3 linked regions of the Oreochromis niloticus genome follow. The protein of the gene in region 1 interacts with the protein of each later gene in a pairwise test. Links are inferred from orthologs where the notes say so. Each region holds a gene or a part of one and is shown in the gene's direction. Other genes may lie near its edges. The genes, in order: tcap, trim55b and ttc19.

Evidence for each region.
Region 2: the proteins of tcap (region 1) and trim55b interact in a two-hybrid assay, tested with the Homo sapiens proteins (2 studies listed by BioGRID and IntAct). The link is inferred for Oreochromis niloticus from reciprocal best matches to the Homo sapiens genes TCAP and TRIM55.
Region 3: the proteins of tcap (region 1) and ttc19 interact in binary tests that used the Homo sapiens proteins (3 or more experiments, as listed by UniProt). The link is inferred for Oreochromis niloticus from reciprocal best matches to the Homo sapiens genes TCAP and TTC19.

The regions. Positions count from the first base shown.
Region 1 is NC_031969.2:27,060,354-27,066,605, forward strand, and holds tcap (telethonin), read left to right. Parts: upstream 1-3,934; 5' UTR 3,935-4,077; coding exon 4,078-4,226; intron 4,227-4,470; coding exon 4,471-4,861; 3' UTR 4,862-5,747; downstream 5,748-6,252. UniProt on the Homo sapiens protein: Muscle assembly regulating factor. Mediates the antiparallel assembly of titin (TTN) molecules at the sarcomeric Z-disk.
Region 2 is NC_031974.2:19,332,610-19,340,524, forward strand, and holds the start of trim55b (tripartite motif-containing protein 55b), read left to right. Parts: upstream 1-4,905; 5' UTR 4,906-5,426; coding exon 5,427-5,546; intron 5,547-5,833; coding exon 5,834-6,003; intron 6,004-7,358; coding exon 7,359-7,536; intron 7,537-7,686; coding exon 7,687-7,782; intron 7,783-7,915. UniProt on the Homo sapiens protein: E3 ubiquitin ligase that plays an important role in regulating cardiac development and contractility, muscle growth, metabolism, and fiber-type differentiation.
Region 3 is NC_031982.2:34,780,594-34,787,586, forward strand, and holds the start of ttc19 (tetratricopeptide repeat protein 19, mitochondrial), read left to right. Parts: upstream 1-3,975; 5' UTR 3,976-4,031; coding exon 4,032-4,129; intron 4,130-4,540; coding exon 4,541-4,668; intron 4,669-4,889; coding exon 4,890-4,981; intron 4,982-6,993. UniProt on the Homo sapiens protein: Required for the preservation of the structural and functional integrity of mitochondrial respiratory complex III by allowing the physiological turnover of the Rieske protein UQCRFS1.

The DNA.
Region 1 (6,252 bases):
ATCTGTATGTGGTTTAAAATATTTGAAGAATAGCAAAAAGAAATGCAATGTCAGTACTGTAAGTTGAATTTTTAAATTGGTTGTTTGCGTGACTGAGATGGAAGGATGTTTTTCCTGTTCAGCAATTTGCTGAAAATGTGAAAGATTTATACAAGTATGCGATAGTTTGTTTTGGTGTGAAATTACCTTGAAATAAAGTTCCAGCCTAAAGCCTGTTTTATGTAATGCCACATGCATCTTTCTCATGTCAAGTTGCTTGCTATTTATAAAGTTACATAAATTCAAACGAGTGAAATAGACTCTAATTTTCAATGATATTTAAATTTACGTTCAGTTAAGTGTACCGAACAATGGAAACTGTGGCATGGGAGCAGCAGTCTTTTGAAGTGGAACATAAGAATCTTCTTCATCTGTCTGTATACTCTCACGTGGCCCGTCAGCTGTGCATCCATGGCTGGCTTGCACTACTGTCCTGTTCCGAAGTGGCATGTCCAGCGTCTGACCGTCCCAGTGAGACCAGACTGGGTTGGAAGATGGATGGTGATAATGGTGTTTTGGTAGTCAGCTGTTTGTTGTTGTTATGTAAGAGAGAGCAATACACTGTCGAGGGCACATGTTTGAACACGGCACCAGCCCGATGGTACAATGGCGCACAGATACACAAATAACTGGTAACAACTGAGTGTTATGAAGCACTAAAGTTGATACTGTGTGCAGGAATTAATACAAAGCCAGATCCCTTCTTATTATCAAGTACTCTGTGTCAGGTTGACCTGTTCCTCTCTCCTCCCAAAGTCATTTTCGTGTTACAAATAAATCAGACTTAAAGTTCCCCTCTCACAATATTTTGCCATATTTACCACCTCCTGACAAGCCTTGGCTTTATCCTGCAATTGCCCTTCTCTTTCTGTTTTCCCACCTACTCCCTATCTCTTTCGCGGTGACAGCTCATTTAAATGTCACTTTGCAGCAGCTGTGGCGGTGCTCTTATGCAACACAAAGTTCTTCCTGGCCGAGCCAGTCCTAGTGCGGGTGGACAGACGAGGACGTGGGGGGTGATCACTGTGACAGACCTAACCTCATCACTGCTCACCTTTACAAACTATCCACACACCCCTGGCTCCATTTGTATAGCATGACTCACCCGAAAACAGCTAGGAAAGGGCCATTTGATGGCCTCTTGGATTTTGGCTTGTGGATGTACAAATAAATAGACAGCACAAATTTAAATTGTCACTCTGTGTATTACAACTGACTGCTTCGCATAAAGTAGCTTCTAATAAGACATGACCTCAACACAGAAGGAGCTTGCATGGTGACTTACTGGGTTTCTGAAATGGCATTCATGGTTGTCATGGTGTCATAACATGACTGAATCAATGACCCAGGAGATGCTTATCGTTTTCTTTTCTCAGTATGACACTGAGCGACATTTTACATATGTACTGGCAGCCTGCTGGGAGATTGTTGAAGGAAAAGTGAAATATTGTTGGAATTTGCAGGCAAATGGATGTTAGCCTTTAACTGTTGCCTTAAATATGCACGACATGAAGAGTCAGTGGTGAGGAATAGCATTAATTTACCCGAAGTCAAGAAATATAGGCAAAGAATCACAAAGTTATGATCATATTTGTTTTTCAGACAATCTGGCACAGTACAGCAAAAACCTTAAAAGAAAATAAAAAACTGATTAACACATCAGGCTTCTTTTGCTTGGGATGATTATATTTTGTGCTGTGTGTGAGGTATATGATATCTGGTATATGATGATATCAGTACCTGATGTGGATTAGTGAGTCAGAAACGGGAATCGGTAGTAACATCAGACCAGCAGATAACTGTCAGAGGTGAGTGTGAGCGTGTGTGCGTGTGTGTGTTTCACAGTCTGTAACCCGAGTTGATTATGGCCTGCATGGCGCTCTTTCACTGAGGTAATGAATCACTGGAGACTGAGTTCTCACTGCTACTGTGAGACAGTGCAGTGTAATGGCATCTAATGAGGGGGTATGATGTTGTCATGAAGCCTGGCGGGGGTATAAACTTATTCAAAGCTGTATTATGAATAAAAAAACAGCATGAAAAAAATGACACTGCTACATAAACTTGTATGGGTTTTTCACCATTTTTCTCACAACTGACTGAATATAAAAGATGGATGTTGCCTCAGTGACATAATGTGGTTTGTGAACTCACATTTTGCAGCCTCTATAGCTTCTGTGTTATTTTTGTTTTTTGGAGCCAGAGGTGACAATATTTAGGCAAGTGTGTAAAATGCTAATTTGTCAGCTAGCTTGACAAATGTTGTCCTAAAGCATGGAAAAAATTTTGCATTTCTTTTTCCTGGTTCTCATTTTGATGTTTTTTGGCTTCATGTCTAAAACATTGTGGTTAACACAAACTTTAGATAATTTTCACATGTTGCTATAAATATTTAGTCAGGTATTTGCTTGCTTATCTTACATTATAAGCAAGCAAATCACTCATGAATTTTGATCCAACAGATGGCGTGTGCTGCCAATCATCAAATTAGACTACAGAAGTTAGCTTGGTATGGCCACCTTTATTCTTTAACCTGAATGATGGTAGGCAAGCTTTTGTCATTTCTTCAGAAATTCTTCAGTCATCTTTAGAAATAGGGGTTTCAATCCATGACTAATAGTGCTCCCATGTGTTTTTCCATATATATATTCTTTTTCTCCATTGGCAGTGTGTTTGAGATCAATGTCATGCTGAAAAATGAAGCAGTCAAACACTTAACACACCAGATAGTACTGCATTGTGAATCAAAATCTGAGGGTTGCATCCATCTACTCTGACAAAATCCCCCAAACCATCACAGAGCACAGAGATGAGTCCACTGTCAGAGGCTATAAGATGATCATTTATAACCTTCGCTAAAGCTTTTTCTGTCCTGTAATGAGTTCTGAAACATGACTGAAACTCTTCAAATAAACCATCCCTCTGCAGATTATCAGTAAGCTGTTTTACATCTACTTTTTCAAGATTTTTTTAGATGAAAGGAAGGTTGGAGATTGGCCTATAATTACCTAAAACCGTTGGGTCACGTGATGGCTTTTTAAGTAACTGTTTAAAGAAAGAAAAAAGAAAGAACTGCACTGAAAATTAGTGGGAAAAACTGTTGCTCAAGACTGCTTTAAAAAATTACAATTCTTGTAACTGAAAGAAAAATATAAAGATATAAGGGTAGCTCAAGACGTTTGTACACCACTTGATTTGAAGTCATGAGGTGTCAGACACAGCAACATCATAAATTATGTCCTGCAATAATTTAAAAGTTAAAGTTAAAAACAAATATTGTGAATTTCACAAAAAAAGTACAATCTTCTTGGATGGAGTGAAGCCTGACAGATTGCTAATTGATACAACTATGTCACATGACAGTTAAAGCCGCCACGCCCCAATCGTATGAACTTTAAAAGGTTATAAAATTCAAATGGTTTGAAGTTTGCTCTTGTAACATTCAACTCTTGAAGCCTAACTCAAATTGACATTTGAGTTACTGTAGTTTCTGGGTCTACAAGGTTGGCTTCGGTTGGCTCTCCTTTGCTGCTTTGTGTATATCATGGCTATAATCTTATTAAGATTCCTCTGCTAAGTCTAAACCATTTGTGTCTGTCTGTGTACATGTTTACATTATTCCATCCATAGTTTCTATAATATGTCCCCCTCTGTGATCACAAGTGAAATGGAAAGAGTTGGGCTGAGTGATTACAAGAGCAGGCCCAGCATTCAATTTGAGAATCAGGGGATTTTCAGCCGTATTACCCCTGAACCCCACTGCAGGGAACCTTCCAGCTGTCAGGGAATGAGGCACGGAGGACTTGGTGTCAGATGTCCAAGCACACTGATTGTAGAGTGACAACATGAATCCAAAATAGAAACAGAGCATCTATAAAAGCTGTGGACAGACCTAAGCCTGGACATAGACAGCACTAAGAAGGACAGAGATAGTGGAAGAGTAGAAATAAAGCCGACTGAAGCATCACTGTTTCCTGTTACCTTAGGACTGATCAACAAGACCCACTCAAGGCGATAAATCTATCTGCACCTGAGAAGATGCCAATCTGTACCGTGCTGGAGAAGAGCAATGGTGTGCTGGTGGGAGCTGAGCTGACCTGCAGTGTGAGGGAAGAGAACAAGGCTCAGAGGGAGAGCTACACTGCTGACTGGCACAGCGTTAGTCTCAAGACTCAACCTCAAGACAGGTAGGACCAATGAGATCATGTCTTATTATAGGTAACACCCTATAATATGATAAGTTGCTTTTAAATGAGAGGAAAACATTCACTAGGCTGTAATTTCAAACTTTTCTTACTCTCATAAAATATGGATGAAGATTGACTTGAAAATTATTCTCATAGTGAAAAGCAGTTAAATGTTAATTGGGAAGGTAAATTACAATAAGGCCCTCAATAGTTTCTAACTTCAACATTTCTTTGATGCCCACAGGCAGACCATGAACATGAACGACACTTCTCGTAGGGAGACTCTGTCCCGGCAGTGGCAGGCACGTTCACTGACACAGAAGTGTCCCTCTGGTGTCTTTAGGGTGGGCACAGTGGAAAGAGGGGTCAGGGAGCACCAGTTGCTTCCAAAGAGAAACACCCTTCCCTTGCCCATCTTTACCCCCGCAGAGCTGGGCGTCAGGCTCGGACGTGGCGCGCCACACACATTGGAGGACCTGCAGCCATTTCCCACTCCAGATGGAGTGTGTCCCAGCAAGAGGACGGTGGACGAAATCACCAGAGATCTCCCTCCAGTCAAGCCGACCCTCATGGAGTTTGCCAAAGCACCCAAAGCCCTGGGGCGCTCCATGTCTCAGGAGGCCCAGAGAGGGTGAAAAACAAAAGGACAAAAGAAAAAGAGGGGATGCTAGGGAGAGACGAGAAGGATGACAGATGGGAAAGAATATTCAATAAGCAGAGTGTGTCTGGAAACATTATGACAAGATGTATATAGATTTACCTCTAGTGACATCTAATACTGTAGAAGTTTAGCACTCTAAATGTCATATCTTGTCATTGTTGGCATTTTATAGTGAGTGGTATTAGAAGTGGTTATGAGAAGATGTTTGCATTCGGACAGGGAAGCAAGGTGTTCTCTTAGCTGTGCCAAGGCCAGTCTGTGCATGTGCTGGCCAGCTGGCCTCGACATATCTGTTAATCGTTCAGTGTGACCTAACATTTGTACGCACTGGTGCACCTTAACCATTTCTTTAGCCCTTTTTTTGAGTATCGGAAAGTACAGTCTTCATGGTGTAAATGAAAGTGTTCAGAATAAATAAATAGATGGAAAAATATGACAAAGGATGGGAAGAGAAGGGAAGAATCAGAGGGGAAATGGAGGGCTGAGGGATCAGGAAACATGCCTTAGAGCTGGTCAGCCTCCAGGACTGCCTGCCAGTCTTTCATCTGTGTGAAGGGTACAGAATGCACTGGCAAGATCAAATGCTGCAACTGTAGATATGTGTGTGTCCCTCTCTGTGTGAGTGTTGGCACGTCTAATCACAATAACTTAGGAAAACCAATAAACTTTTTTTTTAATGTGCATTAACTGATCTGCCTTTTTAGTCGAGTGGCAGCTCATATTTATGTCTGATAGAGGAACCGATACTGTTATAGCTTAGAATACCTGTGGTCATGTAAATGAATCTGAATTGTGTGTAACAATGCTGTAATATTTTGTTAGACATCTATTATTTTTACTAATAAAAGGTGAACTACTCATCACCTCTCTGTCTTTATGGTTGATGCCTGAAGTGCAACATAAACTTAATTTGATTACATTTTATTTGTGGTACAACATGAAAGAATACAAAACAGCAAATGATTAAAGCCTAATATAGACTAGATTGTTTTTCCAAGGATTCGGGAGGGACATTAATAGCTCTACAATGACCTGCAGGTTTACCACTGTGTGAACCGAACAATATAAGAGAATGGATGAAAATGTATTGGTTCCTGAGGTCAGTCGGTTGTGGGTGGAAGAAAAGGAGAAAATAAATATAAATGTGCAAATAAATATGCATGCAGCAACCAGAGGTTAGAGGCCAAACCATGACTTGTTCCGGTAACAGAACAAAGGATCACTTGCATTATGAAAACATGCATTTTGGGAGGCACCGTTATGAGACAAAGATGCAATAAACAGCTGGGGATCTGTCAACTATAATTTAGATAAGAATGCATTTTCACTGTGCCCTCCACCCTTTAGAACAGACCTCACTTTACG
Region 2 (7,915 bases), on another chromosome or scaffold:
GAAAGAAAAACCTCCCTTTTAACAGGAAGAAACCTCCAGCAGTACCAGGCTCAGGGAGTCGCAGCTATCTGCCGCGACCAGTTGGGTGTGAGCAGAAGAAGACGGGACAAAAGACACACTGTGGAAGAGAGCCAGAGAGTAATAATAAGTAGTTAAATGAGGAGTGGTGTGTGTGTGAAGAAGAAACACTAAGCATAACTAAGGGAGGATTCAGGATCACCCGGTCCAGCTCCATCAATCTATGGATGACAAGATTGGGATGTTTCCGCTCTAAAACATTGTAGGTTGACATGTTTTGTTACACAACTGAGCCAAGTTGTGCAATTTTGAGCCATATTATACAACAGCATGAGAGGTGCATTTTAAATGAGATCTTAATACAGATGTTAGTGGCCTGTATAGTGGACGGACTCTAATATTTAAAGCCAAAGATAATGTGGCTACTGGAAAAGTGCTGATTGAGCCTTTTTTCAGAGTCACTCTTTGAGTTTTGGGGGTTGTTTTGAGTATTTTTAAGTAGCTTAGCATGGCTGGAAAGTGACTCAGTGAGTTTGTGACTCAGTGAGTTTGATCACAAACGACGTGATCTCAACATGATGAGATCACGTCTGAGTTGATTCAAGCCTGACCTTTACTTATATTGTCATGGATCCCAGCCTGTAATTTCTTTCATTAATCCCACTAACAAACAGAAAATATAAAGAAATATTAAATATTTTCATAGCTTAAATGATCAGTATTCTTGATGACTGCTTCTAAAACACATTCTGCCCTAAAACACTGCTACTTATTTAAATAAAAGCATGTCAGTGATGAAGGTAGGGTCAAAAATAACTTCTAATTATATACACAGCAATGGAGTACTAGAAAACGTATCTATTTATTACGATTAAAACAAGTAAGATGTATCTACAAAGTGTGACACTATTTCATTATGCCCAATTAGATTTTCATGATATTGTTCATTTAAAACAAACAGGATAAGGTACTGTACTGTTCTTGATCTGCTAAAGGTCTGCAGACCAGAAGCTACTAAAGTCCGACAGGTACAGATGAACCTGGAAGCATTTTAGAGGATAATCTGAAATGCATTCTTTTAAAAAAAAATACCAAAAAGTAGAGGCACACCTTCTAACTGCTAAGCTTAAAGGTCACTGCATGTTTAAGGTTCCTGCTCATTTATTCATATGATAGGGGATTGCTTACTTTTACAATGAAGTACCTCTTATATTATCCAAACTCTTGGCTGTAACAGTACACAGGACCGCATGTAGTTTTCTTTTATAACTTATCATCACTGTGCATTTGGAGACGCCAGAGAAAAGATCTATTAGCTGGGATAACTAAGAGGACTCACTAAAAATCTAATCAGGGTCACCACCGAGCACTGGATCTTCTGTTTCTTGGAGATAATAAATGTGAATGCTGCAGCTAAATCAACTATAAATATTTGGTGTACAACTGCTGTATCTCTGTGTATGTAACTCCAGACAAAACCCCAGTATGACCTCAGCAGTACTGTTCATAGCATCACAGTATCGTAAACAGGCCTGCGTTATCATTTCGTTCTTTTGCAACATTAACACAGTGACGGCAAATCCTCTAAACTGCCCAGAGTATCACTAGTTCAGACCCGAACTATCCAGAAGTTGCATAAATGGATAAAGATCTGACCTTGCTTTTTTTTAACTACATCCTTGGCATTTAAAAATAATGTGAAGCCTAGCTGATAGTGTCTGTGTAAATTTAAGGTGGAATACCTTTTAAGTCTTGCTAAATACTGTTCTACATTAATATTTCTTCATCCCAAGCGAATCCACGGTGAATTACTGCTACCTTTAAAATTACTATTCATTCTAGGGTATGATCATACTTTTTCTGACCCAAAGACTCTCAGCTCAGTGGATCATTTAGGACAGATATGGAGATGAAGAAATGGACATTATCTGGAATTGCTCGCAGAGAGTTTTTAAATCACAGCCACTGACTGCTTGCCATCTGCGTGAATACAATATGACTTCCACCTAACTGAAATATTCATACAAGTGAACAGATGGCACCCTTTGCTCTGCTCCCTTTTCTGGTCCCCTATACACTTTCATCTTGCTTATGAGTTTGTAGACATCTTATGTGTGCGGTTATGTGCGAGCGCAGGTGTATTTCATGGCCTTGGCAGTGCATGCAGACCTTTTTTACGATTCACGCAAAGCACCGCTTACCAACGCCGAGCGAAAGAGGGGAACAGGAGTTTCACACTGTGCTCTTTAAATTGGCAGCTTTTAGCCTCAAAGGCAGCACTGTCTGGCATTCATGTTGGCCTTTCATCTCCAAGTAATCTCCACACTGCTCTTAATTTGTCAATCTTTGTTGGATTTTTACTAACAGGCGCTGCAATATTATGAGTCAGATAGTAATGGATGAAAAATTATGAATTCACTTCAATCACAAAGACATAACCCAGAACATCTCCTTAATTGATCTCATTTGAATTCACTTTTATCTAAATGGTGAGCATCTGAGCAGCCTCTGCTTGTCGCTAATGAATATGTAATCATGCTAGTTCAGCCTTTTTAGAGATTACTGATTAAAACTGAATAAAGTGGTGTGCCCACAGCATCACAAAATGACTAAAAACTTCATTTGTAGTACATCACAGAGAAAAAACACATCAACAGAAAGGAGAACTGGGTGAGACACACATAAAAAGCTAAATGACAAAATTAGTAAGAGCGCTGTTTTACATTTACATAGACTTGCAAATCACAAGAGATGGGAACTTTACTATTTGAATGTGTATATTTCTCATCCTTTTTTCCCCATTTTATTTATTTATTTATTTTTTACCTTTTTCTCATTTCTTAAAGTTGATTCCTAACTTGCAAACCCCGGAGGGGGACACTAAATGAAACAAAGAGACAAATTAGAGAGTGTGAGAGAGACATTCATTCATTTTCAGTAATGACATCTGTCTAAAATGTTTAAATATGACTCACTGATTCTGCATGAAAAGCACTGTGTGCACATCCATGTGGCTTTATATAAAAGGAAAAGAGGTGCGAGGAAGGCAGATGTCATATTGTATGAGTCAGATGAAAAGAAAAAAGAAAAAGATGAGGTATGCTTAAATGGGTCAGAAGCTTCCACTATGAGGATCCTGCTACGTTCGCTTTGACATTGAGTTTCTAATTAAAGAGTATGTAAATTTTTTTGTATAGGTCAAATGTTTTGAAAAAGTGCATCTTTAATTGCTTCGTTTGCATGGGACATTTAGACGTGACAAATATTTGGAAATAAAGTGAGGAACTCATACAGATTCATGAAGATGAGCACTCCATTAGCAGAGGACAGGGGTTTTAATTTGTAATTGAAATACCGCTAATGAGAATCAGTGGACGGAGGAATAACAATCGTGCAACAGCACAGAAATAAACAAAGGCGCTTTATTAGTGTGTGACGCTTGCCACAGTCCTCCACACAACTGTTAATTACGGTCTCTGAGTCATCCATCTGAATGTGTTCGCAGCACCTTTATAAGTCATTTCACAGTCAAACAAAGTGATAAAGTTTGTTTTCATCACGAGTGGAGAGATAATCAAACACTAAACAATCACTTTTAAATTCCCTTTTTGAACAGTGCTTGCAGGTGTGATCATTTTTTATTTAACATGCACAGCAGATTTGCAGGATATGCTGTGTATTTATGCTGACTAGACCATCACTGCAGGCAGTGCAGTGCCAAACATTTTCAAGCTCACTTCTATTTTTTATACACCCCAAAACTCTACTTGATTTTGTGGGAAAGTTTAAGAAAATCATCATCTGTTTTTATGGATTTGCATTTATTTGTAGAAAAATACATTAACTGCCAATACTAGCCATTTTGTTTCAACATCTGAAATATGTATTTTCATTAAAAGAAATGATTAGAGAAGCTTCATAGAACAGCAATTCTTAGCAAATTTGTAAAAGCGCTCAAAATTGAATTTAGGGGAGGGAAAAAAAAAAAAATTTCTCTCCTTCGAGCCGGATTCGAACCAGCGACCTAAGGATGCCTGGGAAGCCACTACAGTCCTCCGCTCTACCAACTGAGCTATCGAAGGGAGCTGACGACTACCTCCACCCCCTGTGTATTTATGAGATCGGCAGATATGGCGGACGCCCTCTTCGGTTAACATGTTTTCTGGAAATTCGCATTCGCCACTGTTTTCCACTTGAGCTAAATAGTTGTGTGTGAGAGTTTCCCCACATATTTGAAGTAACTTGGTTGCCCTCAAAGGAACTTTAACATTGCGAGCCTTTCAATAACTTAGCAGCTATTAAACCCTGTTATTATTCACATTTGTTAGAGCTAACCTAGACAGCTTAATAATGCTACCTTACCGCACTGTATTTCGGCATGATATGTGAAATATATCAAACACTACACCGTCACATTGAACCAATTACGTATCTCACGAACAATAAATACACACACAACGAACAACTTCCGTACCGGGGAATTAGCTCAAATGGTAGAGCGCTCGCTTAGCATGCGAGAGGTAGCGGGATCGATGCCCGCATTCTCCAATAACATTTTCATTTTTCCTTCAATGTAAGGCCTCGAACACGCTAACAAACACCAAAATATTTTAGCTGAATTGTTCTTTTTAAAATAGTAGCAGTTATCACCTACTTTTAAGGATGCGGTGAATACACCTAATGTTACGGTTGTCGTCCTTATGCTGTTCTCTAAGTGCAAATACCCATGTGCAAAAAATGCTTTACACATGCCATAGTTTGTTTAATGCTAGGTAAAATCACGATCACTCCTTTAACTAGGAGCTTAGCCAGCGAACCTAGGATTGTAACAAACCTCTCCTGTGCGTGGTTATCTTCCCTCTTACGTAATGGTCTCCTCCCAACTTTGACTGGAAGTCACTTTTGATAGCTTCCGGCTGCTGTCTATTGTCTAAGTTAACATTAATGCAAAGCTGGCACTTGATCGGCAACATGGTAAAAAGGTACTGAGTACTAGGTGTTTTCAGTAGAGACTGTCAGATGCTATCAATAATTTTAGATATAAAAGTCACAATCAAAGTTAGCCTATGATTGCATCACTTGCCAAATGACTTGCCCCTATCCTCTCAAACACATAGCCACATGGCACCCCGTGTAGAAGAGGCTGGGGATGGGCTGCTTTTCAGCACTGCCCTACTTAGTTTCATATATGGACAAGGCAAAAATGGCAACCTTAGACGTGACAGCAGTAGCTGCTAAAAACAGAACTGACACAGAGGAGATAGGAGTCTACACCCGCTAGGACAAACATAACAGGCCTACTACTCAGCCTGAAGCTGGGCCTATGATAGATTGCTTTTAGAAAGGACTTCATACTAAACTTTTCAGACTTTTTAAGTTGTTTAGTTGCGTGTGAAATCGTTGACACCATGGACAACTTGGAGAAACAGCTGATTTGTCCAATATGCTTGGAAATGTTTACAAAGCCTGTGGTCATCCTACCCTGCCAGCACAACCTGTGCAGAAAATGTGCCAATGATGTTTTCCAGGTAAGCTATTGAATGGCTCAAATTGGTACTTATTTATAAAGTTGGTCTGAATTTTCACATATCAAAGACCCAAATAGTGACATATAAATTTAACACCTATAGGCTCTGTTTACAAACATGTGGATTGAATGTTAATGATGGTGGTTTGAAGTTTGTGTTATGGACTGTTAATCCCCTGGATTAATATTTCATAACTGCTGAGTTAAACAATGTAATTAATTTTACTTCTGCTATCCATCAAAACCCAGTCATGCAAAATTCAGAGCTTCCCTTGTTGTCGTTTACAGGCTTCAAACCCATACCTTCCAACAAGAAGCGGCTCGTTGACCTCTGGTGGACGTTTCCGATGCCCGTCCTGCAGACACGAGGTGATTCTGGACAGGCATGGTGTTTACGGCCTGCAGAGGAACCTGTTGGTTGAGAATATCATTGACATGTTCAAACAAGAATCCAGCAGGTGAGACAGATCAGACATTTGTCAAAATAACAGAAAATGAAAAGAATTCTTCATGTCTGACAGGAGGATGTTTTTATTAGTGAAACTCGCCTTGTAGGGCAGTAAAGTATAGTAGCAGGAAGTGAAACACTAACTCTGGCTTCTGAGTCAGAGATCTGCAGTGGGTGAGAGGACGTTTGTACTTGCAGTAGTCATCCACACAGATTTTTTATCCAGCAGATGACTGAAAGGCTTGTATGACATGATATCCACAACACTTTTTGCTGTTGTGACATTATTTCATTACCATTATCCTAAGTAGAGTTTATAGGATGACAGCCTCTCATCCGAGATGCTTCTTCAGTTCTGAGACCAAAACGTAGAGAGTGCCAGGTATTTAAACCTTAATGGATTTCCCCTTAAGAGGTGATCGTTGCCCGACTAGTAGTCCTGTCCATCATCACAAGAGCCAAACTGGGAAGAAAGGAGTGGGTCATTACCACCTGAGGCTTCAGATGAAATCACTGCGAGATCTTGCGTGAGACCACATTATGTGACCCGTTGAGTTCACCTGGCGCAACGTGTGAGTGGGTGTTGAGCCGCCTGGGAAACGGATCTTGAGACTGCATTGTAGGTGGTTGACAGTTGGTGTTGTTAATGATCCGTCATCGTCTTTTAAACTGTCTCCTCGGTCTAAAATGCAAACATTCACATCCTGCAAAGATTGACATTTATCCTTTCTTAATGACTTAAAAACAAGCAAATGTAAGGTTTTGGAACGACCTACTCAAAGTCAGGACCTTAAACAGGTTGTTCGTGCTCAAAAGCCCCTTTAAATGTGTTTTAATTAAAGCAATTCTGCAAAGAAGAGCAGGCCAAAATTCCTCCACGGTGATGTGAAAGACTCATTGCCAGATATCGCCAAAAGCTTTATTGCAGTTCTTCCTGCCAAGGGTTGCACAACTAGTCATTAGGTTTAGGGGACAATTACTTTTTCACACAGGGCAGGTGCATTTGGATAGCTTTTTCACTGAAATGAAATCATTATTTAAAAACTTCATTTTTTATTATCTTTGTCTGATGGTGTGACAAATATGTATAAACTTAAGAAATAAGGAAAGGGAGAAAACTTTTAAGGTATAAAAACATGAATCATGTATGCTTGCTCCCACACTACTCAGCAATGATGATGACCTATTGATTACAGTGCTGGCAGTGCATGTGAATGGCAGGGCACACCTGATGGGTCATCGATAAGCTGTTTAGATGCCGAGATGTGTAACAGTGACATTATCAAACTGACACTGCATGTCACATCAGTATGCAAATGTGCAGCATCACGGGATACTACCGCTATTTCCATCGCACCTCAACAGCAGCAAACCAGCACCAGAGAAAAAGGAAGAAACGCCCATGTGTGATATTCACGAGGACGAAAAGATCAACATTTACTGCGTGACCCACGGTGTGCCCACGTGCTCCATGTGCAAGGTCTTTGGAGCCCACAAAGACTGCGAGGTGGCTCCTCTCAGCAGCATCTACCAGACGAAGAAGGTGAGGCCTGAGATGCTTACAAAGGCTACGGATACTGTCAGCCATGGTGATGTGTTTTTTACAGTTTCATCATGAAGTATATCATAGTGTAACCATAGATTTGCCCCAGATTTGAGTCTGTAGTCATGCTGCCATGTCCTTGCCCCCTAGACGGAGCTGAGTGACGGGATTGCCATGGTGGTTGGTAACAACGACAGGATGCAGGGCATCATTAGTCAGCTAGAGGAAGCCTGTCGTGCCATAGAGGTCAGTGTCCGACTGCTGCAGTGCCTGGCCGCTCACTCACGCAGCAAGCCTCACTCCGTGCACACACTAATGTACCTGCACAGACGACCAAACTGATGTAATGTGTCCTTGTCACGGCCACTCTTTCTGCTTT
Region 3 (6,993 bases), on another chromosome or scaffold:
TGTACCTTAGGCTCATCAGAGACAATCATATCCAGGTAAAATCATTTCCTTTAATCTACACGCATTTAGGAATTACGTAGCTAATTACACGGATAATTTAATTATTGCCGGTGTTGTGCCAAAAAAGTGTTCGCCTGCCAAAACTGATTTCCAATGTTTCCGAGTGTAATATGTGTAATATCTTTATGTATGTTGGTAAATAGACTTCGGTGAACATGGTTTACTACAATAATTACCTGTTGTTCAAGTATCTTTATAACTCTGGTTATAATGTAGGTACAATTGATATATTTGTTGCGCTGTCTGCTGTCCTCTTGGCCAGATTACTCTTAAAAAATACATTTCTAATGCCAATAAGATTTTTTTTTAACTGGATAAATAAAGGATATATAAAAGTCACTGCCAAAAACTGATTGCAGCTTCTACCTGTTACAGGAATGTTGCTGGTGGCTCAGAGTGACGTGATATCACTAATGAGGGACACATTTCACATGTTTCACGTATTATAGACCAACAAGTTATTCATAGCAGGTTAAATACGAGTAATCAGTTTAGGGCAAAAACCGGAAATCAGTTTTTGGCAGACGATCATTTTTTGCCACAACATCGGTCATTCTCACACATGTACTGTATCATATAAAATATATAAACTAAATATCTTTGAAACGTATAGAATCTAATCTTTTGTTTATTTTTTTACATAGCACTTTATCAAACTGTTGTCTGCTACAGAGTTACAAGTATTATACTAATAATATAGCATCCACCATCTCCTGCTTGCATATTTCTGAAAACATCTTAGTGGTGTGGCAGCCACGAGTGAGCCCTGCAAACCCTGTGGATGGAGGATGCAGTAGACAGTGGGAGGAAGCATCCTAAAGCTCTTTGCAGACCACCCTGTGTGATTCTCCACTCGCCCACCAGAAAAGACAAACCGCAGGTCTCAGTTGCAGCAGCTCATCCACGTCTGATCTTGCTCGGGCAGATTCAGCAACACTGCCAGAGACTTCCTGTAATCTATTACAGTTGTTAAAGAAACGGTCCAGGAACAGGTCACTCAGGTTAATCCTGTGTGAACAACTGTAAATGTTGTTTTTTCATCTTTACATACTGTGTATTTGAAATATTCTTGTTTAATTGTTATTGTTATTTACTTTATTGCTATCAAATAAATATCCAAGTAATATTGTTCAAAGTTAGCGTTATGTTCATACGTGTTACAAATGCCTGTAAATCAGATTGAGTTCAGTGACAATTACTGTCTGTTTGAATCAATTTATTAATAACATAAAACCTTTAAACTAATGCAACACATATAACAATGTAACAAATATATTCAAATAAATAAATTTCTCAATACATAACTCATTTGGGAACTAATCTTTCTAGAAGTGAAAACAGTCTGTCCGTCCTCTCCCTGCTCTCCTCTCCTCAGCCTCTCTTTGCTGCCTCATGTCCTCTCTGATGAGGTCTAGCAGCTCATCATCTCTTTTCCTCTTTCTCCCTGTCGTAGGTGGCTGAGCCGCTTTGTCATCGCTGTCGTTTTGGTCACCCACTGCTGTGCTTGGCCCTGGACTGTCCTCAGGGAGAGAGGACATTAGGACAGGAGGCCTAATGGAAGGCATCTGTCCTATCACCTCATCCATGAGGGCAAACCAGGGCCAAGTAGCAGCAGTGGGCTTCCCACTGACCCCCTCTCCTGAGCCTGGATACTTGCAATCCTAAAGGCAGAGGAAATCAAAAATGACAGCAGGCAAATAAAAACACCACAACAACTCTTAGTAATTGCACATTTATTAACTTGTGTTCTTGAGAATTATCTTCTTGATAACACACATACGTACTTTGTATTCTTTAAAGTTATCTCATGTCTTCTGGCCTGCAAGGGGGTGACTTTCCCCTGCAGGCCCATCCTCTCCAGAATTGTCCTGATCACACACAACAAATAAGAGAAGAAAGGAAACCATGGCAACTATGTTAATCCCTAAGCCCAAAGGTTTTCACAGCAGAACACCAGAGGAACACCGTCTGGACATCACAGGTTCTGTACAGCAGCGGTCCGTGAGTCGTTTGGTACCGGGCCACAGAGTTAAGGCTCCGGTGTGAAATTTATGGTTTTCAGGGGTTTTATCGTTAACTCGGTTTCCCTGAGTCTTTCCCTTGTTGTAGTTGTGTCTTATTTTGAAAGAAATATTTACACGTTGCCATAGCGACCAGAGAGCATTAAGCGGCAGAGAGGAGGATGTTACTGTCAATATTGGCGCATTTTCAGGAGGACGCTGCTAATAAAGTTACACAATTACACAGTACATTCACGTTTATTATTATATTTACAAAATACCACAGTTTTTGTCTTGGTCGGATCATTTTATGTGGTTGTATTTATCCGCGATACCTTAAAGGCTCCGTGTCTGACATAAACCGGTCTGTGGCGCAAAAAGGTCGGGGACCGCTGCTGTACAGCATGAGGGTTAATAGGACCGCACTCATATGAATATGATGTGTACATTGATTTATTCTTGTACATCCACGCCGTAGCGGCCCAATTCTTCACCCCAGTGAAGAGGCGATCGTTTTCTCCTTGTTTTAATAAATTAAGCCGTTTGGTCTTTGTTCCCCACAACATATCACCAATTCGAAAAAAATCAAAATTAGCTGTATGTAGGCGGCAATACATGAAAAATCGCGGGACCCCCGATACAAGCTGGTTTACGGTTATTTTAAAGAAAAGAAACATGTCTATGCAGATGCCCAAAGCTTAACAACACGACCGATATAACAATTTAACTTTTGTACAAGCAGATTTTCATATACTTACATTTGAAAGTGTTTTCCTCTCCTGCTGCGACCACCATCGTTATCAGAAACAAATCTCCTCTATGACCCGCAATGACTCCTGGGATATAGTAGGACACGAAGGATACATCGGACCATCCTTAGAATTCAGGGCAAAGTAGGAGGCACATGTTGAGTACTCTTTGAATTCGGACACCCTTCGTCGCGTCGCCGTGACGTCATTGCCTCCAAATATGGCATCGAAGCATCCTTCCTCTGAATTCGGACACAGCTACGCCTCAAATTCGCAGAAAAGTAGGACGCATTTGTCGCCACATTTTGAGTGCTCTTTGAATTCGGACAGTCCTCGTCGTGTCGCTGTGACGTCATTGCATCCAAATATGGCATTTTAAGCATCCTTCCCCTGAATTCGGACACAGCCCCAGTGTTGAGCTTTGAACCCCACACACAGATTCGCCGTTTGAACCCAGACGCTCGATTCTGAAGGTTTTCCGGTCTCAGCTTTGATAAACGTGTGTCGAATTTGTTCTTTTACTTTGAAAACTCTGTTTGTAAAACTCGTAATAAAGTGGCTGAGAGTGTATTAAAGGCCACTCTAGCAGCCTGGAGGCTGGAGCCCGATTGGCTTCGGAGTTGTTTTCGTTCTTCAGGATTCAGATTTTGGTTCATTTGACATTATCATGACATCATCACAGGGCTCTGCGGGACTGAGATCTGTGGCTGCGTGCAATGAACTCAGCGTCATGTTTAATAAACCAGTCTGAGCTCATCGGAGCTTTGTGACGTCAAAAGATGGTACGCTGACGTCATAAAGGCACGGACGAGGTTTGCAGCAACACTCAAGTAAGCTGTGCCCCGCCCCCATCACACTGCAGGATGGACCCCTGCTTTCAGACTCTGAAGCTGCTGTCCTGTGATGGGCTGGTCGGATTTCTGATCGATGAGCACGTGTACTTCCTGTAGTGGTCAGTGAGTGAAAGGTTACAATAAAGACACGACCGATCATAACTTGGCTGTGTTAGAAATTATCCTTTCAAAATAAATCAGAATCAATGACGAATGGAGTAAAATTCTCTGTATTTGATTAATAACATCTCAATAAGAAATTGAGATATTTGTGGAGATATTTGCTGATCGATTTTTTCAGTTATTCCACACTGGAGAGATTCTTTGCTTTTATTTTGAAGGCGCAGTGTCTGGCGTCGTGTCTTCCGCTCGTTATGTAAACAGTAAAGATGGCGGCCTCCGGTGTTCTCCGTGCTGTCCTCAGGCAGACTCTGAGCAGGCTCGGGGGGTTCGGGCGGAGCCTGCATCACCCGCGAGCTGCACACAGGTGAGCGACTGAAACCTACGCACCAGGCTCCGGTCACATTTCACACGATTTGAGCCTCCCGCGTCCTCACACCAGAGTCCATTCAAAAATCCGCAGTTTTTACAGCTTCTCGGGTCCCCATCACTGCAGGCAGCGTTCAGTGCTGATGGGCAGAGGAAGGTTGCTGGTTTGAATTTCTGACAACAACAAACATCAGCAGCAGAACAGCTGGAATAACATCTGCACCTGCTCTGTTCCACACAGAGAGGAGGCCACACACACACACACACACACACACACACACACACAAACACATGACCAGAACTTGTCAACCAGGTGTAACCACGTGGTAATATGACAGTAACCGTGGCAACCATATCATGTGTATGTGAACTAAAAGTTTGAAGTTTTTACTCTCTTTTGCTTCTGCAGTCTGAGCATTAACACTGTCAGATGTCAGAACACCGCTGTGACATCACATCCTGTGGAGGGCTCACGCTGCTCGGCATGCTGGGTAACCGTGAGCGGAGGAGGAGGAGGGGTGCTGTGGGCAGCGCTCGGTACGGTTGGTTACAAACATTGTTCTTCATCAGCTTTCATAACCTGCAGGTTCCTGTGACCTCTGTGACCTCACACTGAGCTGCAGTCAGGGCTCTCCAGCACACCTTTCAAAGTAAAAGCTTAGGATCAGGAGCGTGTTAACACGGCTGCTGAGTCACTGAACCAAACTCCAGTCAAAAATCTGCTGATTTTACATCATCACCTCTGTGTGTGTGTGCAGCCTTCTCTCTGTTTGGCAGCAGTGAAGAAGACAAACGTGATGAAGCTCAGAGGAAGGAGGACGAGATGATCCTGCTGCTAAAGAAAGCCAAGGTACCACACACACACACAGCAGTGCTACTGTGTGTGTGTGTGTGTGTGTGTGTGTGTGTGTGTGTGGTGATGCTGTATATTAAAGAATAGTGTGTCCTGACCAGTGGTGCTTAAAGAGGACATGAAACACTGACCGTGCTCTCACACAGGTGGAACTCTGTCTGTGACGCTGGGTTTAAGTAACAAAGTTACTTGACAGCACCATCTGCTGTCAGCGTGGAGTGTGACTTCATGTGATTGGTTGGTTGTGGTCATCTGACTGTAGTGCTGCAGCGATGAGTTCATGTTATAAACCAGGATAAAGCGTCCACTTTACTGTCTGCAGCAGGAAGTGGCTGTTTTGGTAAAAACCAGCTGTTAGCCGTGATGTTGGGCTTTGTAAAGCACTTTATGAACAAAGGCTGAGTCTGTGTGAGCCAGGGGACAGGTGTGAGTCAGGTGTGAGTCCGGGGACAGGTGTGTGACACAGGGCTCTAGACTAACTTTTTGCCACGGTTGCACCGGTGTGCCTAACGTTTTTTTTAAAGCACAGAAGTTAGGCGCACTCAAATTTTTCAACCGCCTCAGTTAACACCGCAGTTTTACATGTGCACTTTTTTGGGGGGGAAATTGCTGTCCATACAGACAATATTCATTTCTAAATTATTAACTAACAATCTTGTAGTTAAAGTGCGTTGGCACTCTTTGGCAATACTGTAGAAAATGTTAAACTTAATCATCATCTCGGCTCCTCTGACGACCTGTTTGCTGCTGCCTGCTGCTGAAAGGCAGTGGGGAGAGGGGACACTTGGGCAGTGCATTTATTGCAGCATATAATGTGTTTTCTGGATACACTGCTGTTTTTTCAGCATTCAGAGATTGATGGCACCGTGTCAGAGCTGGCTGTGAATTTCAGACGGATCAGTCCTTAACTTAACACAAAAGTTGTCAATAGTTCTTTTCATCTTTTCTTATTACCCACAGCTACATCCACTCTGTCAGGCCTAGGCTGCTCACTAGGGCTGGGTATCATCACTGATTTCTATAATCCATTCGATTCTGGTTCTCAAAGTCCTGATTCGATTCAATTTAGCCTCAGACAGTCAGAAATATTATATTTCTGATCATTTATCAGCACTGATACATGTGAGACTTCATCAGAATTGTGAACATCACAGCAGATGCCTTTGTGTCAAAGTAACTGAGAATAAAACACAGAAAAACATGAAGGAGATTTTCCTGGTCTGGCGTTTTATAGCAGATAACCTTAAAAATATTCTGCAATTTTGCATAATTTTAAAAAGTTTAAATTTCTTCAGTATTGAACAGCAGAAATTAGGCTTTCTTGTCCGAGGTCATATAAGTGAACAAAGAAAAAGAAAAGAAAAAGACAGCGGCCGACAGCGCTGTAAACAACGGTAGACTGGTGGGTAATAAGCCAATGAATAATGCAGAAAACAGAGATTTGAGACGGGAAACTGATCTTGATGTACAGAGAGAGAGAGAGGGAGAGAGAGAGAGAGAGAGGGAGCTGTGCATGAAGTGTGATTTTTATCGTGGTGGAAGCAAAACAGCAAAAGTCAGAGGGAATTCATGACGACATTGATCAAATGTGAAGCGTAGTTTGCTGCTTCTTTTGCTGCTGGCTCGGCGAATTTTGGTTGGAGAGACAAAACCTGCAGCTCAGAATCAGCGCAAAAAGACGGAAACACAGCGCCGACCCGACGCATCAGAATTGCTAAGTTCCGACAGCGTGTCCGTGTTCGGGCCGTGGGGTGAGAAAGCCGAGAAAGACAAAGCTGATTCTGATGCATCAGGTCTGTGTTTACGTCTTTGTGTGGAATCCGTGTGCCTGCTCTCATTTACTGTTTGGTGGTTGTTGAAATAGTTTTGTGAGCTTTAATCTGAGAATCTGGCGTTTCTGGCAAAACACAGTGTCGGGGGAAATCTCCCAAATAGAAGGCTGCCAAAGTAAAACAGAGACACAGTGAGACAATATAATCAATCACATGTACATGGGGTGAAGTCTCTAA